4 linked regions of the Drosophila melanogaster genome follow. The protein of the gene in region 1 interacts with the protein of each later gene in a pairwise test. Each region holds a gene or a part of one and is shown on either strand. Other genes may lie near its edges.

The links.
Region 2: the proteins of Sam-S (region 1) and CG17107 interact in a two-hybrid assay, tested with the Drosophila melanogaster proteins (one large-scale study listed by BioGRID).
Region 3: the proteins of Sam-S (region 1) and CCT3 interact in a two-hybrid assay, tested with the Drosophila melanogaster proteins (one large-scale study listed by BioGRID).
Region 4: the proteins of Sam-S (region 1) and sals interact in a two-hybrid assay, tested with the Drosophila melanogaster proteins (one large-scale study listed by BioGRID).

Annotation. Positions count from the first base shown.
Region 1 is NT_033779.5:104,658-110,783, forward strand, and holds the start of Sam-S (S-adenosylmethionine synthetase), read left to right. Parts: upstream 1-2,245; 5' UTR 2,246-2,343; intron 2,344-3,103; exon of another isoform or gene 3,104-3,107; 5' UTR 3,108-3,181; exon of another isoform or gene 3,182-3,689; intron 3,690-3,930; 5' UTR 3,931-4,028; coding exon 4,029-4,152; intron 4,153-4,936; exon of another isoform or gene 4,937-5,093; coding exon of another isoform or gene 5,094-5,136; intron 5,137-5,748; coding exon 5,749-5,826; intron 5,827-6,097; coding exon 6,098-6,126. Other genes in the region: Nhe1 (Na[+]/H[+] hydrogen exchanger 1), read right to left, coding at 1-290, 348-679, 734-798, 855-1,258, 1,312-1,985. UniProt on the Drosophila melanogaster protein: Catalyzes the formation of S-adenosylmethionine from methionine and ATP. The reaction comprises two steps that are both catalyzed by the same enzyme: formation of S-adenosylmethionine (AdoMet) and triphosphate, and subsequent hydrolysis of the triphosphate.
Region 2 is NT_033779.5:10,679,138-10,683,585, forward strand, and holds CG17107 (uncharacterized protein), read left to right. Parts: upstream 1-2,828; 5' UTR 2,829-2,853; coding exon 2,854-3,144; 3' UTR 3,145-3,391; downstream 3,392-4,448. Other genes in the region: CG17104 (uncharacterized protein), read left to right, coding at 1-218; CG17105 (uncharacterized protein), read left to right, coding at 1,910-2,221.
Region 3 is NT_033777.3:16,645,205-16,651,246, forward strand, and holds CCT3 (chaperonin containing TCP1 subunit 3), read left to right. Parts: upstream 1-2,400; 5' UTR 2,401-2,691; coding exon 2,692-2,725; intron 2,726-2,783; coding exon 2,784-2,845; intron 2,846-2,930; coding exon 2,931-3,430; intron 3,431-3,496; coding exon 3,497-4,535; 3' UTR 4,536-4,774; downstream 4,775-6,042. Other genes in the region: CG10324 (uncharacterized protein), read right to left, coding at 1-742, 816-1,537, 1,587-1,723; Mettl4 (methyltransferase like 4), read right to left, coding at 4,842-5,921. UniProt on the Drosophila melanogaster protein: Molecular chaperone; assists the folding of proteins upon ATP hydrolysis. Known to play a role, in vitro, in the folding of actin and tubulin.
Region 4 is NT_033777.3:11,447,511-11,453,660, forward strand, and holds the start of sals (sarcomere length short), read right to left. Parts: upstream 3,641-6,150; 5' UTR 3,579-3,640; exon of another isoform or gene 3,557-3,578; intron 853-3,556; 5' UTR 657-852; coding exon 1-656. Other genes in the region: PGRP-LB (peptidoglycan recognition protein LB), read right to left, coding at 5,497-5,789, 5,942-6,150.

The sequences.
Region 1 (6,126 bases):
ACTTGCGATCCATGCGCCCAAAACGATCGCGCGCTTGAGTAAAGGTGACGTCCTCTTCCTCGGTGAGTTCAGACAAGTGTTCAGAGTCGATTGCCTGGCCCCATTCGCGAGTTTTCGATAGGGAAATAGATTTTGAACGCTTCCTACCGCTGCCGTTGCGTCGACCTCCCTCCTCAGCGGCATTCCTTCCAGAGCCGCGTGCCCGCCGTTTTTTTCCTGGCTTAAGGTACTTTAGCAGAGGCATTGTGGAGCCCCCCAGCACTAGCGTGGTAAATAGCACAATGATTAATCTGAAATTTTAATTCTTCAATGACTGAGCATTATTTTACAATCCGGAATATGCTTACGTTGTTGTTATGATGACGTGTCGTTTCTCCTGGCTGTCAAGATTCAAGTGCAAAGATAGCGCGTAGGAAATCGCTCCGCGTAGGCCAGAAAACCACATAATGAACTGCATCTTGTTATTGATCTTATGCTCGCGAAATTTGTTGACCAAGAACGCGAGCGGAAAAATATTGCAGGCGCGGCCAATTAAGCAAAGCACAATGGCCCATATAACAAAAGATAGTTCAACTTGGTGTTTAAAAGAAAAGATTGCTAATCCCAGATAAGCAAACACGCAGGTCTCAGCAATGAAAGCTAGTGTCCTCATCGTCTGCTGCATGGTAATTTGGGTAACCTACGATTAAAAAAGTTTTAATAATATATAAAATAGGGATATCATATGACTTACAGTGGATAGGTTGAAATGCGTGTAGTGGGACATGACGATTCCGCAAAATAGTATAGCCATAATACCTATAGTTGAAAAAAATGTTTAGCTTTTAGAGTCATAGTCAACAACATTGATATACCGCTTAAGTGTATTCCCTCTGCCAAGACGTAAGGTGCGTAAGTAAACATTAGCATCATCGCGAACTCGAGGGATGGATGCTTTCGTAAATCGATGTGCTTCAGAAGAAGAGCCGAAATTAGTGCAAATATGACTCCAATGCCCGCCGAAGCAAAGAACATCGCGCAAAAGGTCTTCAACGCGCTGAACATGGCTTCTCCAGTGCTGGCCTCAGCATTGACGTTAGCGGATTGGGTTATGGATGCAGTCAGCACAATAGATATGGCGTCGTTGAGGATGCTTTCGCCGAATACCAACATGTTGAGTATGGGGTCTACGTCAAGAGCATGGAAAATTGCCACTGTTGCCACAGGATCAACAGCAGAGATGAGAGAACCGAAGGCAAAGGATTCCGAAAAGCTTAGGCTAAAATTTAGGATAAATTATTGAATGAAATTGACAATTTATTTTAAACTTGCCGAAATGCCACCTCCCCCAGGCCCAGCAGGTAAATCCCCGCCCCGATGACTAGTGCAGAAATTGTTGTACCGAATATGGCAAAGACCAGTATGGATCCGATGTTCTGAAAGAAGTTTCCCTTGTGCAGATTGTAACCGGACTCGAATATAATGGGCGGCAGGAGCACCAGAAAGAAGCCCATGGGCGAGAAGACCTCTTCACGTTTCCAACTGCCATTCTGCCCAGACATAACGTTCAGCGAAAGGCCAATAAAGGCGCCCAGAAAGACTACCACAATGCTTTCTGGCAGGTACTGGAACCCGGTCTGGAGCATAGAGTGGATAAGCAGGATGCCCAACATGATAACGCAGATGACGAAAAACAGTGAGAGTGAGGAGTTGTGCTCCTGCTCGACAGCATGGGAATCGATTAGAGGCGGATCTGTGACCAATGTGGATGCGTTTCCCCTTTTCGTGGTGCTTGCATTACCAGATGCAGAAATCGAGGGCGTGACATTTCCAAGCGGACTGTTGACGAAGACATCCGAAACGGTGTGGATAGAGCTACTATTATCTGTAGTGGTGGTGTTGCTTGATGTTTTGCTTTGGGGCACCTCCTGTCCACTGATGCTTTCCGGACCCGCGTGCACCAACAGTAAGAGTGCAGCTGCACTATAAGCTACCCAAACCCTCATTTTTGCCGACAAAACGTGACGTGGTCGCTATTAACGCTCGCATTTAACTTTTCACTATTTGTTCAATTTGTTTTTTCACAAACATCTGTTTATCGCCCTATCTGACGTATATCGGGGAGAGTTGCCGTATCATTTTGGCTTATTGGCGCGTGCCTTTCATATATTCAAAAGAAAATTGTGCACTTAATTGCGTGCAGTATATTTTACCATATAATGAATTTATTTAAATAATTGGCTTTTGCCCAGTCATTGTAGCTGATAGCTCTTGTGAAGTGTCTTGAAAATTGAGCATTTTAAGTTTAAATATTTTTGTCTACGTATTGAGAACGTTTCTTACGGCAAAAAGAAAATTATATATGTATTAGAAAAGTGAAATAATAAAAAACCTTGTTATTGGCAAAGTGATAAATTGTTTAGTTAAGGCTATTACAATAACTGACGATAAATCAGTAAAATAAATGCATTGCCACAATCTACAGTTCGCAAGCACCCACCATTTGTGCTCAAGAATAATGTGCCCTGCGCATCTGTTCGTTCAGGCACACGCGATCTTCTTAGGCCCCGTGGGGTCACACCTTATTTGAAAGATAATGGGGCTTGTTGTTTTCGGTTATATTCAGTGGGTATTAGAATTTTAAAAAATGTACATGCAAAAACTGATTACCAGGCTCCTTGATCTTGGCAGACCTTGTTTGTCTTCTTGGCTGTGGCATGACGTAAGCACTTTTTCAAAAGCACAAATTGTTCGAATAGTATGAGAACCCTAATTGACGACTTTCCTTGACAAGATAGTGTCGAACGATCCATCTCCAAAAGGGCAGTCACTCCATGTTAGGGAAAAGCTAGGGTTTCAACAGATACAGACATTCGTTTAAAAATTCGCTTCGAATTGCGCTTCGTGTAGCGATTGTCTATATCATCGAATATGTATATGTCAATTGCTGTACATAAGAGAAGCCGAGAGAGCAATGCTAAACAGATTTTAAAAATTAGGTATATAGGTGGCTGCCGTGGTAGCACATAGTTTTGTTCTGATAAGCTCTTATTTCTTGCCGACTCATCTTCTCAAATGCTGTCTACAAAAATTTATAAATATTATTCGTCTGTAAAAATCATCCGCAGTTGAACGCAGGTTGAGCAGGAAGCTAGTCGAGACTATAATCCATATCTTGTCTGATCCTTTGTTCAAAACCACAGTGAGTATAAAATAAAGGATCTGGATCTAGATTCACTACAGTTCACTCCGGAGCGGGGTGGCAACGCTGGGCGGCGGAACAGCTGCTTAAAACCCAAAAACGTGGAGATACTGAAGAAGTAAAATCATTTGAGAGTACCGAGAACGCTAGGAAAGTTTCCCTAAAGAGCGCCCAAATAAGTCTCAAAATAATAATCGAGTCAGCCGAAGAGAACCGCCTCCTCCGTTTGCGACGATAAGCAAAAGCCCGCTCTCTCGTTGGAGGTATAAATTCTGAATGGCATTAAAAAGTTGCGCTCTTTTTCTTCAGAACCGTCGCTAAGATAGGACGTGTGTTGGCTGCGCCGCTGATTTGGTTGCCGTCGCTGAACCAGTATAACTCAGAATCAGTGTGTATAATTTGTTGAACTAATAGCTAGAACGTCGAACACGCATTTTAAACAGCTAGCAGCACCGAGCCCTCACCTAGCGACTAGTTTAGCTTTGAACCCGCTCAACGTGCGTCTCATGTATGTAGCGACGATTGTGGCAAACGCGCAGCATAAAAACATAAAAGAAGGGCGATTATATAAAAAAAACTATAACGAAAAGTGTGCGAATACCGGAAAATCCCAACAGCCTCGAGGCGGCCTATAGCTTAGATTCGCGAATGCGAAAATAGATGTGTTTTGCAAGAGTTCGGAAAATCAATTTCGTTAAGCGTTTTTTAACAACCGCTAATGTGGCCTCTCTTTCTCTCTGTTCCCCCAGCTCCACCAACAATTTAGCCGACCGGAACTCGGGTTATAGCACTGCTCCCCCATTGCCCCTTCAAACTTCGAGTTACATATTACAAACTACCCATCAACATGCCGCAAAAGACAAACGGACATAGCGCCAACGGATGCAACGGCAGCAATGGCAACTCATATGACATGGAAGACGGAGCTACATTCCTGTTCACTTCCGAGTCCGTTGGCGAGGGTCATCCAGGTGAGTGCTTCATTGCATCTGCGGCGCCTCCTATTGCATCATACCGATAGTGTCAGTGTAAAAAAAGAAACAATCTCAAATGCCCCTTCGGGCGTGGTGAGAGATGTTGCCTGTCAGTTCTCATAACCTGACCAAACTGATTCTCTAGCGTCTGAGGCCCTTCTGTCTGAAGTCCCTTTCCCTGTATACCCAGTTCCACACCTCCACCGTCTACTCACTTCTGCTTACCGCCTGAACTCTAACAAAATGGCGACGAAATTATGTCCATACCTTTGTTGATTTCTACCCAATTTGCACGACTTGAACAGAGGCTGAGAACGGGAAGAAGAGCTAGTAAAACGTGCCTCTGTTGCATCGCCCGGTGACCAAGCCGGAAAGCTGGGACCACGGAGAACAGCTGGCTTCTCTTGAAATCCCCGCACAACAGCGGGCTAAACCTTGTGCTTGGATGGGCAGACGCAATTAATAGACTGGTTCTTTATCGTTTGCGGCTCTCACATATGTATGTATGTGTGTACAGAGAGACTACGTCATGCGCACCATGTGCTTGTGGCTCATGGGAGATGCGAAATTCAAGTATTCTCTACGTTGTTCTACGTTGTCCACGCACTTGTTCATTTGATCGCAGATGGCGATCAAAACAACGGCCAACACAAACATACCTTACATTTTTCTAGACCGCTGTCAAAGCTTATTTTTTTCACCGAAATTGCCAACCACGTGTTTTGCTCGAGCTCGATCTTTTCGCCCCTCCCAGAGTTTGTTTATATCAGCAGTGGCGACCAGTATAGTAGTGTGTTTGACAACAGCTGTTGATAAGCCGAGCGACCTTTTATACTACGCATTGATTACTTTTACTATTCTATACTATTTTATTTTATAATGCTAATTAAGTCGGCTTGGCAAGCTAGCCCTAGACAATCTAGCCCTATACAATCGTGATGATAAGCGCCGAGTGCCATTCAGAAGAATACACCCCAAATGGTTGACATTAATATCGCCTGTCTTTTTGTAATAAATGAGTGACGGACTTGTTAGAATAGATAATTAGACTAGCCGGAAATTGGAAACCCTGAAACCCATTTCAGAGTAGCTACTTTAAACCCTTGACCTAACTAGTTTCCTCGCAATCATTATCCCAGCCGAAATCGATACCATGCGCCATTTCTATGAGTCAACAGTTTTGGTAATTTATGTTGCTATTGCTGACGCATGTTCGAGTTCAATAACGCCTTTACTACGAAAAGTAGCCGAATGTTGACGGACTCCAATTACGCGCCAAGTTTTGAGGCAAGCGCGAGCAACCCGACTGGTATCAGATGAATCCGACTCCCAGGATTTCATGGACGATTCGGCTTCAAATGTCATCATTTTGTGTTTGGACAACACTACGGTCGCCTTATGCTCTTGTTCTGGGAATTGAATTTCGCTGTCAATAGCAGACAGATTAAATGAAACCGCATGGCCCAGCAAATTTTGATCCGTCGCACTGAATAACATTTTGGCCCGTTCCTCCTTCCACTCCCCGACAAAAATGCTTTCCCCTCCTTCTTCGCCCACCTCTGGCTTACCTCTTGCTTACCTTATTTTTTTTAGACAAAATGTGCGACCAAATCAGCGACGCTATCTTGGATGCCCATCTGAAGCAGGATCCAAACGCGAAGGTGGCGTGTGGTAAGTGTTATGAAACCTGGAGTACATGACTGCTCTGACCCAAAATCAGATTTATATTAAATTCGGCCAATGAAGGTGCGCTGACCAACAATAAATAATCTCATTCATAGAATTAATCAAGAATCACCGTGAGTGCCATTCTTTTTGAAGTTGACTTATTCGATAGCGCCAACATAAAAAAACAAGGTCAAACCACCGGCAAATCTGTTTTTGGATTACCTGAAAAAGTTGCCGAAATTTCTTTTAACACATTCCATAATATTTAATACAGAAACCGTCGCCAAGACGGGCATGATTCTG
Region 2 (4,448 bases), about 11 Mb from region 1:
CAACTACAACGAGCACCACTGAGGCTCCAACTACGACGAGCACCACTGAAGCTCCAACTACGACAAGTACCACCAGCACCACCAGTGCTCCAACCACAACCACCACCACAGAACGCCCCATTCAGACGCGAGCTCCGCGTGTGGAGCGAATCTTCAACTCCGACGGAGTGGAGGTGCTCTACGGATACTCGTCTGTGGTGCGGACCAACCGCTCGTGAGTGGTCAGCACCACACGACCTTGTCAAGGTCGGACAACTTGCCATTATGTGGAGATTGATGCTCGGGTTGTTTTAGGCAATTTTCAATTCTAAACGAGTTATAAACAAAAATATTTAAATTTTATGCGACGATCCGCACAGTGTGATAAACCAAAAAAAAAAAAGAAAAACAAATAACGATGCGTAAGAAGATATCGATGGAAATACAAATCCGCACAGACATTAAACAAAACAAAAATAATATTGTGCAAAATTTGTGAACGGTCTGCCAAATGACAAAAATGAGGAGAAATGCGTGAGATAAGCGATTTTATAAATTATAAATAAAACATGAACACCCATCTTTCGTTTTGTGTTTGTTTTGGCGATTGCACAAAGCGTTAGTAGGTATTTTAAACATTGTTGATCCGAAAATCGATCTTCAAATGGGACATAATATTGCCGCAACGAAACGTGATTGGCTGAGGTGATCCAAAAGATACCCTCTAATAGTAGCAGAGGGAAAGATAATTTAAATCATGTTTATGTAGGGTCTATTCCTAAAATTGAATATTCAATATAGAGTTTTTAATATAGAGCATTCAATGTAGAGTATTCAATATAGTATAGACTTCTTTCAAATCTAATTCACTGAATATGAATCATTTTGTATATTGTTCGAGCAGCGCACCCAAGAAATCAAGTCAAACACAAGCTCAGACATTCAGCAGCCCACAAGCTGATCGCTGCCCACCTGCAAAAAAAAAAATAAAAAACAGAAAAAGAAAAACCGGCAATCTCCTCAAGAGTTGTCGTCATACATTTTTGGGCTTTATGTTCCGGCATGGACGCAGTTAGTCCGATGGACAGACACGTGGACCAGTCAAGCTGACTGGTTTGGTGTGGTCAGGTCTGCAGGCTTGGGTCGCCTGGCAGATTATTCATTCATCGATCGGCTTGTGAAAATCCATGAATCCATGAAGAAGCACAGGGCTTTTTTGGGGGTTTTGCAATGAGTATCACGTTTGCTATGCCTCACCCTCGATGGAATTTGAAAGCAATCGGCTATAAAACAAACACCAAGCGCTAATTTCCATTTGAACTTGAGCGGCAGTCGCTAAACTGCATGTTGAATATGGTTCGAATGAATGCGGATCGAAGGTTTTGGCGATACGGGTTTTTTTTTTTTTGGCCACTTAACTGGCCTTTATTTACTAAGCCAACTGACTTAGTAAGCTCTAGGTCGTGGGATGTACCGATATCAGGCAGTTAGTCATAAGCTTAACGGGATGAAGAAAAATATATATATTAAGATGGTAACCACAATTGCAGAAATGAAATTAATAGATTAGTTATTTCTATCATAACATTGAAGTAATTTCTCTATCTCTCCATTTTCCTTGCTTATGAATAAATTTATCCTGGACATTTAATGACCCAAATTACTACAGTAGATTGATTTGTAAAACAAAAAGATTCGCAAATATTTCTCACTGTATGCTTGCTACAGTAAGCTCTGGCTATAAAAGCTTCATTCGCAGAAAATAAAAACAACTTCTGTTACAGCCGAAAACTATGCCACTTATATATTTAAGCTCTAGTTAACCATTGTTAACAAGTTAAGTAGACTTATTTTTGCTTTCTTTGTTTCATTATGGAAATTAAGTTGTCATACGAAAAAAAAAAAACACAGGATAGTGGGACATCCCACGATGAAATTATATGCACTCTGCGCTATCCTGCTCCTTGCCATTGTGGCAGTCCAAGGATATCCTGGTATACACGGTGGCTTTGGACACGGAGGACACGGTGGACTCAGTGGCTTGGGAGGACTTGGCGGCTTAGGAGGACGCGTTGGTTTCGGAGGACCCGGTGGCTATGGAGGACCCGGTGGCTACGGAGGACTCGGTGGCTACGGCGGACCCGGTAGCTACGGCGGTGGTGGTGGAGGCGCAGTAGCCACTGCCAACGCTAATGCAAACGCAAACTCAGTTGGTTACAGTCCGGGTGCTTACTACGGATAAGGAATGATGATAACAGCAGTCCAGAAACGGCAATTGCTTTAAAAAATAAACAAATGCATAATTATTGCATAAAGACTAAGACATTTTTCTATTATTACTTTTGCCAAACGTTATCAACACAATGGCCTTACCTTCTATGTATAATATACTATAAATATAAATTTATTAATTTTTAATTATTATTTATTAAGTGAAGAATATATATATAATTTTCGGGTTCAAAAGTTGTAATCACCGGAAAAGGAATTTTGTATAAAATGTGTAAACAGAAGCAAATCTAAGGACTTACATGATAAACTAGTTTTTATAGCTGATTATCATAATGAATTTATCTGAGCTTTTTTACAGCCTGAAAATATACTTTACCAAAACATGGCTTGCCAAAGCTAACCAGTTTTCAATTATTGATAACATAGTATATAAGCATATACTATACATATAGGTAATATTAAACGTCATGCGTTTTTAATATATGTCTAATTAATGTGCTAATCGAAGCCCCCATATATATGCCGATACAATATCGATTCTGTGATTTTTTTTGTTTTTCAGATAAACAAGTCGTCCACCTGTCACGGATGCTGGTATAAAAGAGGCCAGCACGCGATCACAAAACATCGCAATCTCTAACGATGAAGTTCCTGGCTATCTGCATTTTTCTAATCTTCGCCCTGGTGGCCGTTCAGGCACATCCTGGTGGATTCGGCGGATTCGGTGGAGGCGGTGGTGGCGGTGGTCGCGGTGGAGGCGGTGGAGGCGGTGGAGTCGGTGGAGTCGGCGGTTCGAACGCAGTTGCCAACGCGAATGCCGCTGCAACCGCCGACAGCAGAGGAGGCGGCCCAGCTTCCGCCTCGGCCTCGGCCACTGCAACCGCCAACGCCAGCTCCGGAGGAGGTGGAGGTGGACATGGCAGACATGGATAGGCTCGAAACGGATTCATAACTGTACTCTCGAAAAGTGGGCACGTCCGCTGACAGACCTACTAAACTGAAACCAATACCAATACCAATAAATATTAAAATGCTAATTCTGTTTTTGGAAATCCAAGATGTTGTTTTCGTATATTAGGTTAATAACCAGTTTATGAGTCGGGCATTATTTATAGATCTAATGACGTCAAACAAGATTTCTCTAGCCTCCTAAAAACAGACTAAGTTAACAGCGGGAGCTAATATTAGAAACTATGTTTTAAAATGTATCTAACAACTTGAATTACAACTGAAAAGTATGCATTATATATATATAGTTTTTGCAAATAGTTAGTGCATCTCAATTTTAATTTAATTTATTTTTATATTTAAAATCATTAAGCTCATTTCATTCATCATTTGTTTGTACAGCTTACCCGGAAATCCAAACAATTTGTGAGTTTTTTTTTTTTGTGTGATTACTTTTTTTATGTAATTAAGTAATTGCATTTGCCACCCACAACAAGTCTTGAATTTGGCCACTTACGGAGTGACACACTCAATTTCAGCAGGTCTAATAAATCGAAGATATTTTTTCACAAATGAAGTCCGACGTCTCTTGATATATTGTCAAGCTTCTTAAAACTCGGGTTTGCAATATTTAAATTTGCAAATTATCAACATCTGGATAAGTTTCTACGTTTACGGTAGCCAAACCTTTCCGAAATAAAACTAGTTTTATACCCCTTAATCGTACAGTAATAGGGTATGCTAGGCTTATTAGAATGTATGAAACAGATAGAAGGAGCATTTTCAATCTATATTGCATTCAGATTTTAGGGACGTTGCACTTTTGAAAAATGCTTTTGATATTTTTTTGTTTAATTACCATTTTTTCCTATCTATTGATGTGCCAAATGAACTAGTTGAGTAACGGGTATCAGATAGTCGAGGAACTCGGCTATAGCGTTTTTTCTAGTTTTTAATTCTAGCTAAATTATCTACATATTATTATCATAGTTAATTTTTGCACTAATCAAAGCACACAGTCTGCATATCAATGATGTTTTCGAAATGTCTGTTCTTTTCTGTTGCTCTAGAAAGTGGAACACACATTATAATTATAATTTGTAAATCTAAAGAGTAAAATATTTTTCTTTGTTTATTCCAAAAAGACTACAAACATTTTTACAAAATACGCTTTCAATGTATGAATTGTAATTTTATCAGCCTAGAACAATTTTGCGACTGAATCATTTCATTTATATTTTCATAATAGAAATGCATAAATTCGAAATAAAATATTATCAAAATATTCT
Region 3 (6,042 bases), on another chromosome or scaffold:
CGGGACCTGACATGCTTGCTCCTCTTGGTCTTCTTTTTGTGCTTGCTGTGGTGACGACGATGGTTTTCACCGAGGCTGTCATCGCTCTCTAAGCTGGAGTCGTTGTCCGCCTTTCTCGACTTGTTCTTGGACTTCTTTGAGTGTTTTCTTGACTTGTGGCTGGATGATTTCTTCTTGTGCTTCCTGCGTTCATATGCAGAGTCGGAGTCGCTCTCGGTGGACTCTCCCGTATCGTCTGCCTCGTCTGAACTACTCTTTGTTCTTCTGGTGCTTCGGGGACTTTGCGAACGCTTTTGGTCACGGTCTTCCCGCTTCGACTTAGATGGGCTTCTGCCTCTGGGACTCGGCGAACGACGACGCTCACGTTCCTCGCGTTTAGATACAGAGGAGCTACCACTCCGCACATACTTCTTTTCTCGATCCACCTCCTCTTTGTTAGATTTGGCTTCCTTGTACGATTTTCGCTCGTCTTTGTACGTCCTGCGATGTTCGTCTTTGTACGTTTTTTTGTCTTCATATTTGTAAGACCTTTTATCTTCTTCCTTGCATTTCATGCGATAGTCTTCTTTACTAGATCTCTGGTCCCCTGGCTTCGAACTCTTTTGATTTTGAGCTTCATCCCGGTCTGATCTAATTTCTTCCCTGCGGTCTCTGTCCCTTCTTCCTGACGGATTTTCCTGCTTCACAATAATCTGGCCATGCTCGTTTTCATTTTTTTTGAATTCTTCGTATTTGGCAGTGTCTGAAAGTAAATGTAAAAGAAATATAAAAATGTCACAAATATAAAGGATTTGCATTTTCCAGGCTCCACTTACTTATGCACTTGCCATACTGAGAGTACTCCTTGCGGGATACGGGCTGACAAAGGAACTCGTTGAACGCCTCTTTGGCCCCTCCAATTGCCATTTTGACAATTACTCGCCCTGCATGGTCATCAAAACCTTGGATTTGGCCATACTGATCCTTCTGCTTTCCGCCCAGAATGCGCACGTACGCCTGCTTCTTAATCTCCAGTACCTCGTTCTTCTCCGGCTGGACCAGTAGAGCTTTAGGTTTGAGCGCCTTATCTGCTCCCAGGCCCATGCCTTTGGGTCGCAGAAAGGGGGCATCATCGATGGGTCCTGAGCCCTTCTTTTTTGGCGGTGGATCAACCCAGCCCATGCCGCGCAGCATGGCTAGGCCAAATTGTTGTATCGGTATGTTGTCATAGTCATCTAGTGTTGCCTCCTTGGCACCATCGAGAGGCAGTTCGTCTGCGCTTAGGGCGGGCAGGACAAGTTTCTGGTCATCTAGGCCTTCGGCACCGTTATTTTGGATGGCAGATATCAATTCCCGAGCTGCTCTCTGTTCCAGACTCTCCGTTGGACCGCCTGCGGTGACCTCTGCTATAGACTGAGCCACTGGAGTCACCTCCTCTGGATCCGGTTCCTCCTCGCCCAGCAGAACTGCCCGCCTCCTCATCAGACTCGCCAAAGCGGACGAAGTCTTCTGCATGCCTATCATTTTGATGGTAAGAGGAGCAGCTTCCACCTTTTCGCTAAATATTACATATGAGTATAAAACTATTTCAAGATATTTTAACTTACTCGACTGGCATGATTTCGTTTCCTTCCAAGCATTTTATCAACTCCACCTTGCTTTCCTCTTTCGGCTGCTTGCTGGGCAGAATGTTTGGTTTCTTGGACAATTTACTAAAGCCAAAAGATATCTTCTTGGCCTCCATGTTGTCTAGTTAAAAAATTAATAACTATTAAAAACAAATTGAAGCCGAAATGTATCGTAAACAAACAGGCCACAGCTGACTCGCGGTTTGTTATCGATATCGATAATTTATTTAATTTATGAAACGCTTACACTACACTTTTAAAGTATTTGCAAAACTTATTTGTTTTTCCATTTATATATAAAAACTACCATGAAATCCATTTAATACGTTTTGAGCAGTTTTATTGAATACAGCACAGGATCTTCAAATATTAAAAAGTTCGACGCTGTTTATGTAACTCATCATTCCAAGTAATCACTTTTCCCCCGTTATATTCAGAATATCCTCCAACATTTTCTTTTTCGAAGGTGATACAATTTTCATAAATTATATTTTAACTTCTTTTGAGTTTAGTTGGTTAGGCTTTTTAGGCTTCAAAATTTCCACATTTTAATTATGATGTGATAGAAATATGCTATATAACATAAATTTAAAATCCATTCGTAATATAAATTAATTTCCAGTATCACTTACACCGTAGAAAATATTATTTATTGTTACAAGTTTAATGTTTTGATTTCGCTTAAACCTCAGGGTGGAAAATTTAAAACCAAGTTAGGCGCCTTCAAAAAATCGCAGTTATGACGAATGTAATTCTGTGACATCGATAACAAAAGCTGCATAGTGTAAGTATACTGTTTCTCGATATCGATTCTTAAGAGAGCTGCTGCTTCGAATTGTGGAGAATTTGAATTAAACTTATAAGCGATCGCAAAAGTCAGTTAGCAGTAAGTGAGGAAAGAAAAGAAACTAGAAGAAGGAACTGGCAGAAGTAACTAACAAGCCGGTCCGCTCAATATCCTATCGAACCTTCTCGAATAATGTGTCATCGGCGGTTCTAACCTCACTCATTCTCTTTCAAACAGCGGCAGCGCCAGCACGAGTTCAATTGTTTTCACGCAGAAATAAATTAAACAGCCAGAAAGATGTTCGGTGGACAGCAGCCAATACTCGTGTTGAGTGAGTATGAAATTTGCACGTCGTAGAGCCCAATTGCAATCGAATTACCCGCCGACAGGTCAAAACACAAAGAGAGAATCGGGCCGCAAAGTGCAGTTGGAGAACATCCAAGCCGGAAAGGTATGCGTGACTCACATGTCTGGGTCTTGGGTTTTTGTGTTCTCGCGTTTTCCGACCATCTGTTGATTAAAACGTCTTTTTCCAGGCCATCGCCGATGTGATACGCACATGTCTGGGGCCACAGGCCATGCTGAAGATGCTGATGGACCCAATGGGCGGCATCGTGATGACCAACGATGGCAACGCCATCCTGCGTGAGATCACTGTGCAGCACCCGGCGGCCAAGAGCATGATTGAAATTGCTCGCACACAAGACGAGGAGGTTGGCGATGGTACCACATCGGTCATCGTCCTGGCCGGCGAGATGCTGGCCGCCGCCGAGCCCTTCCTCCAGCAACAGATCCACCCCACTGTTATCATTCGCGCCTATCGCGAGGCCCTCGAGGACATCGTCGGCCACCTGCAGTCCCAGCTTAGCATCCAGTTGGACGTCAAGGATAAGGCCAAGATGGCCGATGTGGTCAAGGCCTGTGTGGGCACCAAGTTCATTGGCAAGTGGTCCGACCTTGCCGTCAAGATTGCCCTGGACGCAGTCGAGACAGTGACGCTAAGTGAGAACGGCCGTCTGGAGGTAGACATTAAACGGTAAGAACGAAATTTGTTATGCATATTATTTTTGAATAAATAATTTTAACTTTGTTACTTTCACAGCTATGCCAAGGTGGAGAAGATCCCGGGTGGCGCCATCGAGGAGTCGTGTGTTCTTAAGGGCGTGATGATCAACAAAGACGTGACGCATCCCAAGATGCGACGCCTCATCGAGAATCCCCGCATCGTGCTGCTTGACTGCTCGCTGGAGTACAAGAAGGGCGAGAGCCAAACCAACGTGGAGATAATCGGGGAGCAAGACTTCACCCGCATGCTGCAGATCGAGGAGGAGTTTGTGCAGCGCATCTGCGCCGACATCATTGCCGTGAAACCGGATTTGGTATTCACTGAGAAGGGTGTCTCCGATCTCGCCCAGCACTATTTGCTGAAGGCTGGCATCACGGCCATCCGTCGGCTGCGTAAGACTGACAATCTGCGCATCGCCCGCGCCTGTGGTGCCACCATCGTGAACCGCACTGAGGAGCTAACCGAGAAGGATGTGGGCACGGGAGCTGGACTGTTCGAAGTCAAAAAGATCGGCGATGAGTACTTCACTTTCGTGACGGAGTGCAAGGAGCCCAAGGCCTGCACCATCCTGCTGCGCGGTGCCAGCAAGGACATCTTGAACGAAACGGAGCGCAACCTGCAGGACGCCCTGCACGTGGCCCGCAACTTGGTGCTGGAGCCACGCCTGGTGGCTGGCGGCGGAGCCGTTGAGATGGCTGCCTCCCAGCTGCTCACGCGCAAGCAGGTTAAGGGACCATACACGGCGGTGGCCCACGCCCTAGAGATCATACCGCGCACACTGGCTCAGAATTGCGGCGCCAACACGATCCGTGCTCTGACTGCTCTCCGCGCCAAGCACGCCTCCCACACCGGCGATGGTGTCTGCGCCTGGGGCATCGACGGCGAGTCCGGCGAAATCGTGGACATGAACGTGAAGAACATCTGGGAGCCGCTGGCCGTCAAGCTTCAGACCTACAAGACCGCCGTGGAGACGGCCATCCTGCTGCTGCGCATCGATGATATCGTCTCTGGATCAAAGAAACGCGGCGGCAACGAGCCCACCAATCCGGCGGCCATGGCCCAGGGTCAGGAGTAGTAGCCTGCGATTAACCACGTGTATTAATAATGCTTACTATCCTTTAATACTTAATTTAACACTCAAAAGAAAAAACAAAACAAAATCCCACACACGCCACCCCAAATGTTTAACATTTAGCTTCAGCCAGGCATCGTTGGCTTCTCTGGAAGAAGGAAACCCATCCGCCGGCCGCCTACACACAAAATTCAAATGCATTTGCTCTCATTAACAGTACACAAATAAAATTGTTAAAACTCATAGCTGCTTATAAATCCCTTATTTAATGAGGTACTTGTAAAAATTAAATACAATAATTAGGCGTAGCTAATTTACCTCCTCCTGGTTGCAATGTTCTACTTTACGGACTTCATATAGCCTTTCGTCCATCAGTTTGAGCACTTCTAAGCCAATTGAAGTGAAGTGGGGATGCAGATATCGGGCAAACAGCTCCAGGCAGTTTGGTTCCAGCTGGTCCTTATCCAACAGGAGGTGCTCCCTCAGCCAAGACAGCAGTGGTGGCTTGTGGGAATGCACAATGCTGGGCACGCTGAAGATCAGCTCGGTCTGTTGGATATCTTTTCCATAGTTTTCAGAAGCATCGGAGCGACAGGCCACGTAGAGCATCTCGTAAGGCTGCTTCTGGGTGAGATCCGACTGCGGGGGAGCAATTAGTTCATGGTCTGTGCTAAGTTTGTACCATCGGAGCTTGTGGAGCAACCGGAGATTCCAACTGGGCAGCAGCTGCTGCTCCAGGGCCAACTGATGCAGCGTCGAATTGGTGCACCAGATGGCCACCAGTGACCGTGGGTGCGTAAGCTTCGAGAGCGGTATGTGCGACAATTGCTCATTGCTCAGCATCGAGTATCCCAGCTCCGGCTTGGCCCGCTTCAGCCTGCGGATGTACTTATTCCGCCACGGAGGATCCAGCACGATGAGATCGTAGGCGGGCAGAAGTTGGTGCAGTAGTGCAGGCAGATTGTCCACATTGTGGTTGAAGAATCGGGATTGATTGGGAATCAAGTACACGCCACGGGATCCATCAACTCTCAGAAACCGCTGCATCCGTCCACTTTCGTTGGCTCCATGCAACTGGGGCACGTTGTAGCCATCCTCCCAGTGCCTCTTCATCGGTGAACTGTCCTCCGGTTCAACGGGCTTGCTCAGAAGCTCTAGATATTCATTCACTAAGTGTAAATCCTCCAAGGACGACGCATCTTCTACGCCGGCTTTCCTTTTGCGCTTCCTGGTCTTGTCTTCCTCAATGCCTTTGTCCGTCTTTTTGGCATGGAACTGGAACAGTTCGGACTTGAGCTTAAATTCGTCATATGCTTCGTTTATAAGTGTCTTGTGATCCAAGAACACTGCGAATTTCGAATCTTCAGTTTTCTTTTGCAATTTCAACATTTCCGATATTGAAATGTCTATCTGAAAATCATCCCTGAGTCTATCGATAGTTTTCCCAGTGCGCGAGATATTACAAAAATATAAAATAATTGAATACCGACTGAGTTATAATTTTACAATT
Region 4 (6,150 bases), on another chromosome or scaffold:
GTGGTGGGTCGCAATTGGGCCGCCTTCTTCACGTGCTCGGGCACCTTCTCGTCCACGGTGGTGTCCTCTTCCTCGCTCTCCTCCTCTTCGGACTCGCTTTCCTCTTCGCTTTCCTCCTCCTCAGACTCGGTTTCCTCTTCGGTCTCTTCCTCCTCCTCGCTTTCTTCTTCCTCGGAGGAGGATTCGGGTGGTGGTGTCGGCTCCTTCTTCTTTTTGAGCGCTGAAGTGGTGGCTACTGGCTTCTTGGGCCCCACGGTGGGCGCCACTTTCTTGATTGGCTCCGGTGCTTTCTTGGTATTTACGGGTTCTGGTGTCTTCTTGGCCGCCGTTGTGCTTGTGGCCAGTGAAGATTTCTTTACAGGCTCTATCGTCTTCTTAGCCGGTTCAGGGGTCGAAGTCTTCCTCGCGGCTGCAGTCGTGGTAGCAGTTGCTTTTGGTTTGGCCACAGTCGGCTTTTCTCCATTTTCCTTTGTTGCCGGAGAGGCGGTCGTCGTCGTCGCTGTTTTCTTTGCCCACGGAGTGGCAGTGGGCTTTGTGGTACTGCTGGTGCCACTGGTGCCGCCGTCGTCCTTCACCCATGGCGGACGGAACGTGGTGCGTCCGCCGGGCGCACTGCTTGCACTGCTTGTCCCCGCACGGGGCGTCACAAACGGCATTTCGTAGTCGCTCGAACTGCTTGCGGTCCTCCGGACTATTCTAGACTATTCCCTCTGGTGGTTTATATTTTTTTCCAGTCTTATTGGTGTTAAATTCTCCAGGGCCCGATGTCGTCGCCCGTCTGTTCGCACACTCTTTTTAAATAATTTGCCGTGAATTCTTTGCTTGTTTTTCCCGCTTCTCTTGGCGTTGCTGCTGATGAAAACACAAAACTTTGCACATTAGCACCGTCGGGGGAAGTTGTCCGAAAAAGTTCTTTCATTCAGATTTTCCGTAATTTTTTTCGTTTATTTTTCTATTTGTTTTTTGATTTTTTTTGTGTATGTGCCTCGCCTTGATAATTCTATTTTACGCGTATTTCTTTTCTAATAGATTTTTATGTATTTTTTTCGTCGCGAATTTGTTGCTGGGAATTTTATTCGTGGTCCGTTGCCGACGATGAGCAACAGCTGTTTGAGATACTTTCAATCCGATTCAATTCATTTCATTTCGTGTATATTTGGGTATGTTTCATTTTGAATTTTATTTTTAACTGAATGCGCTCATTAGCTTTGCTGGCTGTTTTTCTTGTTTCTGTCGCTGTTTCTACTAAGAGACAGAATGTAGGCCTTTGTGTCATAGTCATGGACAGGGACATTCACAGATGCCGAATGTGATGGAAATAGGAATGTAGAGAGGATATGGGGATGATGGCGGTCGGCAATGGGGACCGGGACAAATGCATCAACAAATCCCAACTGAGTGGAATGCTTTTGCAGGCTCTCACAAAAACGCCTACAGTTGCAGCCAAATGTTTAAATTCCAGGATATTTATAGCAATCGATAAAATCGAGATCATCCTATCCGTCAAGATAACAAGGTTTTCTTATAAACTTTCAACTTGTCAAATAATTTAAATAATTTGAACGAAAACGATGAAATGAAAATGCTTTGGGAATGTTTACTTTTCAGAAAAGTATTATATGCCGAACTATTCAACAAACATATTGTGCCATTTGCTGGTGATTTCCAATATTTCTTTCATACGAAAACCAATTACGATAGAACGAAAAATGTTTACATATAAAATGAATTTTAAATCAATTACTCATGGTCGAGAAAAGTTATAGCTTGACTTAATGCTGATAAAGTAAAGTGCAGAAGATGGAAACTATTCGCTCTTGCTGAGTTTTCTTTGGCTCGCGATTTTCCTCTGCCGTTTTTCTATGTATTTTTAATGACCTCATTCCTGGGCAGATTGTAAACAACAATTTGCAACTTTTCCTGCTCTAATTGGGCAAAAGGATAGCGAAACATTCCTCTCGCTTGCAACTGCAACTTTCTGTGACCACTATTATGTTGGCCGCCACTGTGCTGTGAATGTGAATGTCCAGCTAAACGCCTGCGTATGTGTGTGTGTCCGTCCGTCCGTCCGTACATATGCACTCCAATAAACAGCACAAACAAAAAGAACAACAGCAACAACAGCGTCGGTGTATGGGAATAGAGCAACAAAAACAATAACAGAAACGATTTGCTCTGCCACTGGCTGCGATATGTAAAAGGCGAAAATATTTAATTTTAGGTTCTTTGTGCCCGCCGCTGAGAGTGGAAAAAGTGGAAAAAAGTGAAAGACACTGGCGGTGAAGAGAAGCACCCAATTGGGAGAGACAAAACGGAACCAAATCGAAAGAATAAAAGGAAACATACATATCTCTGGCGCTTTCGTCTTTCGCCTTTTTTTCCATTCACTTTGTTTTGTTTTTATTCAACTGGCTCGTTTCACAAAGTAGACAGAAAAACGTACACAAAACTGGTTGTACGGACGGAAAAAAAAGGCCAAAAATTTGTGATAGAAGGGGCGCTCTCGGGGGTCAGAATGAAATCCGAATTCGTTTCATTCCATTGCCATTCCATGGCCTGGTCCAAAACCATCCAACCCCCTTCGTCGAAGCCCATCCCTCCCCCACATTCACCATATTCATTTCCATTCCACTCGTTTTGGGGCGATTGCAAATTTTTTTTTGGCCGGAGCGACGAACACTTTCTCGGTCTTTCCTGCATGGAGGCGTTAATTAAACATGACATGCAAATAAAAATTATACTTAGAAATACAGTCAAACTTCCATTGCAAGAATAACCGACGAAAGTATCTTTTCCGACGTCTATTTGGTTGCCTATCTGTCAGTTCCAATTTGCTTTGAATGCATTCTAAGCTGTTTCCACTCCCAGCTTAAGCGATGCTTATCGATTACTAATTAATGGTTGGCAATTGAATCAGATTCGTAAATTAGATCCATTGACCATTTGACAGCACACGAAGCAAGGGAAGTTATATCGAAGTACGACTGTATTTCGAACATTGCAGAGGATTCCAGAAGATAGTTAAGGCGAGGACGAAACAAAAATGCAATTTCAATTAAAATTGTTAATGAGACTGGCTAATTTGACGCAAAAGTTTCGCGGATCTGTGCTCAGAATGGCAACTAACAGCTAATTCCCGGCCATATTTCATCCTAAGATTGCCTGTCAACAAAAGTGCTTAAAAAAAAAACAAATATATCGGACGGGATATTTTGGGAACTGGCCATTCATAACGCCCCTCCAGAGAGATTTATTAGATCGATTGGCCAGTGACAAGAGCTGCGCATATTGCCGCCCAAATGTACACGAATCTGTGTCTGTGGCTATATGCTATATTTTTGGATATTTCACGGATTTTTCAGATTTTTATTATGTGTATTAATTGGTTCATTCGCGCTCGCTGCAGTTTTCGTAGCACGTTCGCGTCGTTGTACTATATATTGCACAGATATATATTCATATATATATATATATGTTGTATATCTCTTTGAATTGTACGTGTGTGCTGGTTGGGTCAGACACCCGCACATCACCACAACCGCAGGCACACACACACCCGCACACACACAGCCACGAACTCTGGTAGTGAATTTTCAGCAGCGAAGGCAACAGCAGCGCCTATGACGGCGTTTCAAAAACTAAATTCATACATTTTCCAACGCCACGGCGATGGGTGAAAAATTTGAAAATTTTCCCGCTCGCTCTACGAATTCCTCTCTCGTGGGATTTCGCTCATTATCTCTTCGTCGTATTTCGGTGAGCACAAAATGAAGTGAAATGAAAATTTTGTTGACCGACAGAGGCATATTTTTAGCATCTTTTTTGATATGTGGGCACGGTCTGTGGGGGTTTGGGGGGATATGGGGCGGATCCGCGGCGGATCCAATTGACCTTATGGCAGGTGCAGTTCAATGGAATTATTAATAGCCGGCTATTGGCTATGTGGCCCGTGTGCCCCAAGGATACAACCCCCTCGATATCCGCTCATCATTAGGGGCCTCTTATCAGGCGCCTCGCATTCAATGGACCACAATTACGCAAGTTTCTCGGGCGGCGTGGGCGTCGCAGCTAATTTCAGGGGGAGTGGGTGGTTTGGTGGATGGGTGGTTGGTGCGTCTTACCCTGTGATAGAAACCACTCGTCTAGAAAGTCCAAACCCATTAGTGCTTCTGTTCGATGGTCAGTTCTGTCCCAATGCGTTCGTTCTCTCCGAATCGCTTTCAATATTTACATTGTCTACCAAGTGGTTGCTTCCCCGTTTCACTCGCGTGTGCTCCACATTTCGGTGGAGCGGTGCAATCGATCGATCGATCGTTTGATCAGTGCGTATCTGTATGCTGGGGACCCCTTTATCGATTGAACTATTGCTAGACTAATTGATTGGTGATGATACTAATGAACTGGTAATATAAGCTGAATCAGTGAGTAAGCCTCTTATCACCTTATCAACGTAACATAATGTATGCCATTTGCATATCGAGTTTCCACAGGAGTGTTCGATTGAACTAATTTAATTTTGATAGCATTTTCGAATCGTTTTCGATAAAAAGAGTTACTGAGTTACTTGCTGCCGCCGAAATCAATCCAATAGCTGCAACAGAGCGAAAACAAATGATTAAAGTCTATGCCACTGCCGCAAATATTTATTTAACGTGCAATGTAGGTTATCAATGGCATGTTTTCAAATATTTCGTTTTTTTATACACATCTGCGCGAAAGCACGCCACTAATTGTTTTGCCTTGTCAGCATCAGCCGAAAAGTATGCCAAATTGAACGGCAAACATTCCCGCGCACACAAAATAGCCGAGAAATTTCCGCTTAAACGGGCCATTGCTATTCTTTTTTTTTTTTTTGCTGTCCGTCCGTCCGTCTATCTAACAGCATTTCGGCAATATTAATTATATATTTATTCATTTGGCAAAATACAGCGCATATGTATTGGGGGGCTTTAAAAATAGGCTTAAAGGCAATTGCGCTGTGGGTTGGAATGCCAATATGATGCGACTTCCCCCGGGGTCTTATTAATTCATCAGTCCCAAAATGCTCCCAGAATGGTTTCGTCCGCATGTGAGGATTGGCGGGTACTTTTGGACCCCAAAACCACTACGCATCACCTCGCATGGCGAGCCAATGTCAAATGGCTGGAAAAACCTTTCGATGCGCCGGGGTCGCCGACATTTTCAGCGCCGCGTGTCGTCCAAAAACTTCTGCCATCGAAATCGAATTTGACACAAATTAATTGCTATTTGATTTGACAAGTGCGAACGCGGGCGGGGGGCGATGGGGCGGTGGGTCGATTGTGCGGACACAAAGAGCAACAGCGGGGGTTATGTTTAAGTGTTATCATCTAGAAATTGCTTTATTTGTGAAATGTTAGAAGAGACATCTAATGAATACTGAATGAACTCCTTGGCGTTGTGCGTGGAGCCGAGCTCGTTGTGGCTTCTCTTAAACTCGTAAGCTTTGCGAGGACGATGAGGGCCCTCCAATCCAGCCTAGACCTTGGGCGCAGCTGGCGGGGATTGGTGCGGCTTTTGTGGTGCTGCCGCCTGTGGATGGACGTGGGGCACGACGGGCGCCGTGGTGCTGCTGACGCCTTCGGTGTCGTTTATGTGGGTAAAGTGCGGCCAGCTGGAGATCTCGGCGAACAGGCGGCCGCCAGGACACTCGGTATCCCGCACCTGTCGGTGGCCCAGCAGCTTGTAGGCAGGGTCAATGTAGCCCTTGAAAACGCCAAAGGCGATCAGGTTCTTGGCCGCATCCAGCATCTGCTTGGGCGGCAGTTCGGCTAAAGGGAAAATAAGGAAAAGTAATTAGTACGGAGTTTAAGAAGAAAATGAAGAGAAGGAAGAAGGCTCATTAACAACCTAATGAGTTTCCATGACTCTTTAAACGGTATTAAAAAGAAATCTATCCTCTTAAAGTTAGGAGTTAACTTACTTCTCCAATCTCCGATCAGCACAATGCCCACGCTCTTGTCATTGTACTTGGGTGCATGAGCTCCGATGACATTGAATCCCCTGCCGGTGTAAATCATGCCATCGCCGCCGATGCCAAAGCTATAACCAATATCGTTCCATCCGCGCTCCAGCTGATGGAAGTCCTGCATGTCCCGCATGCTCTTCATGCAGTCCGGAGTGGAGTAGCAC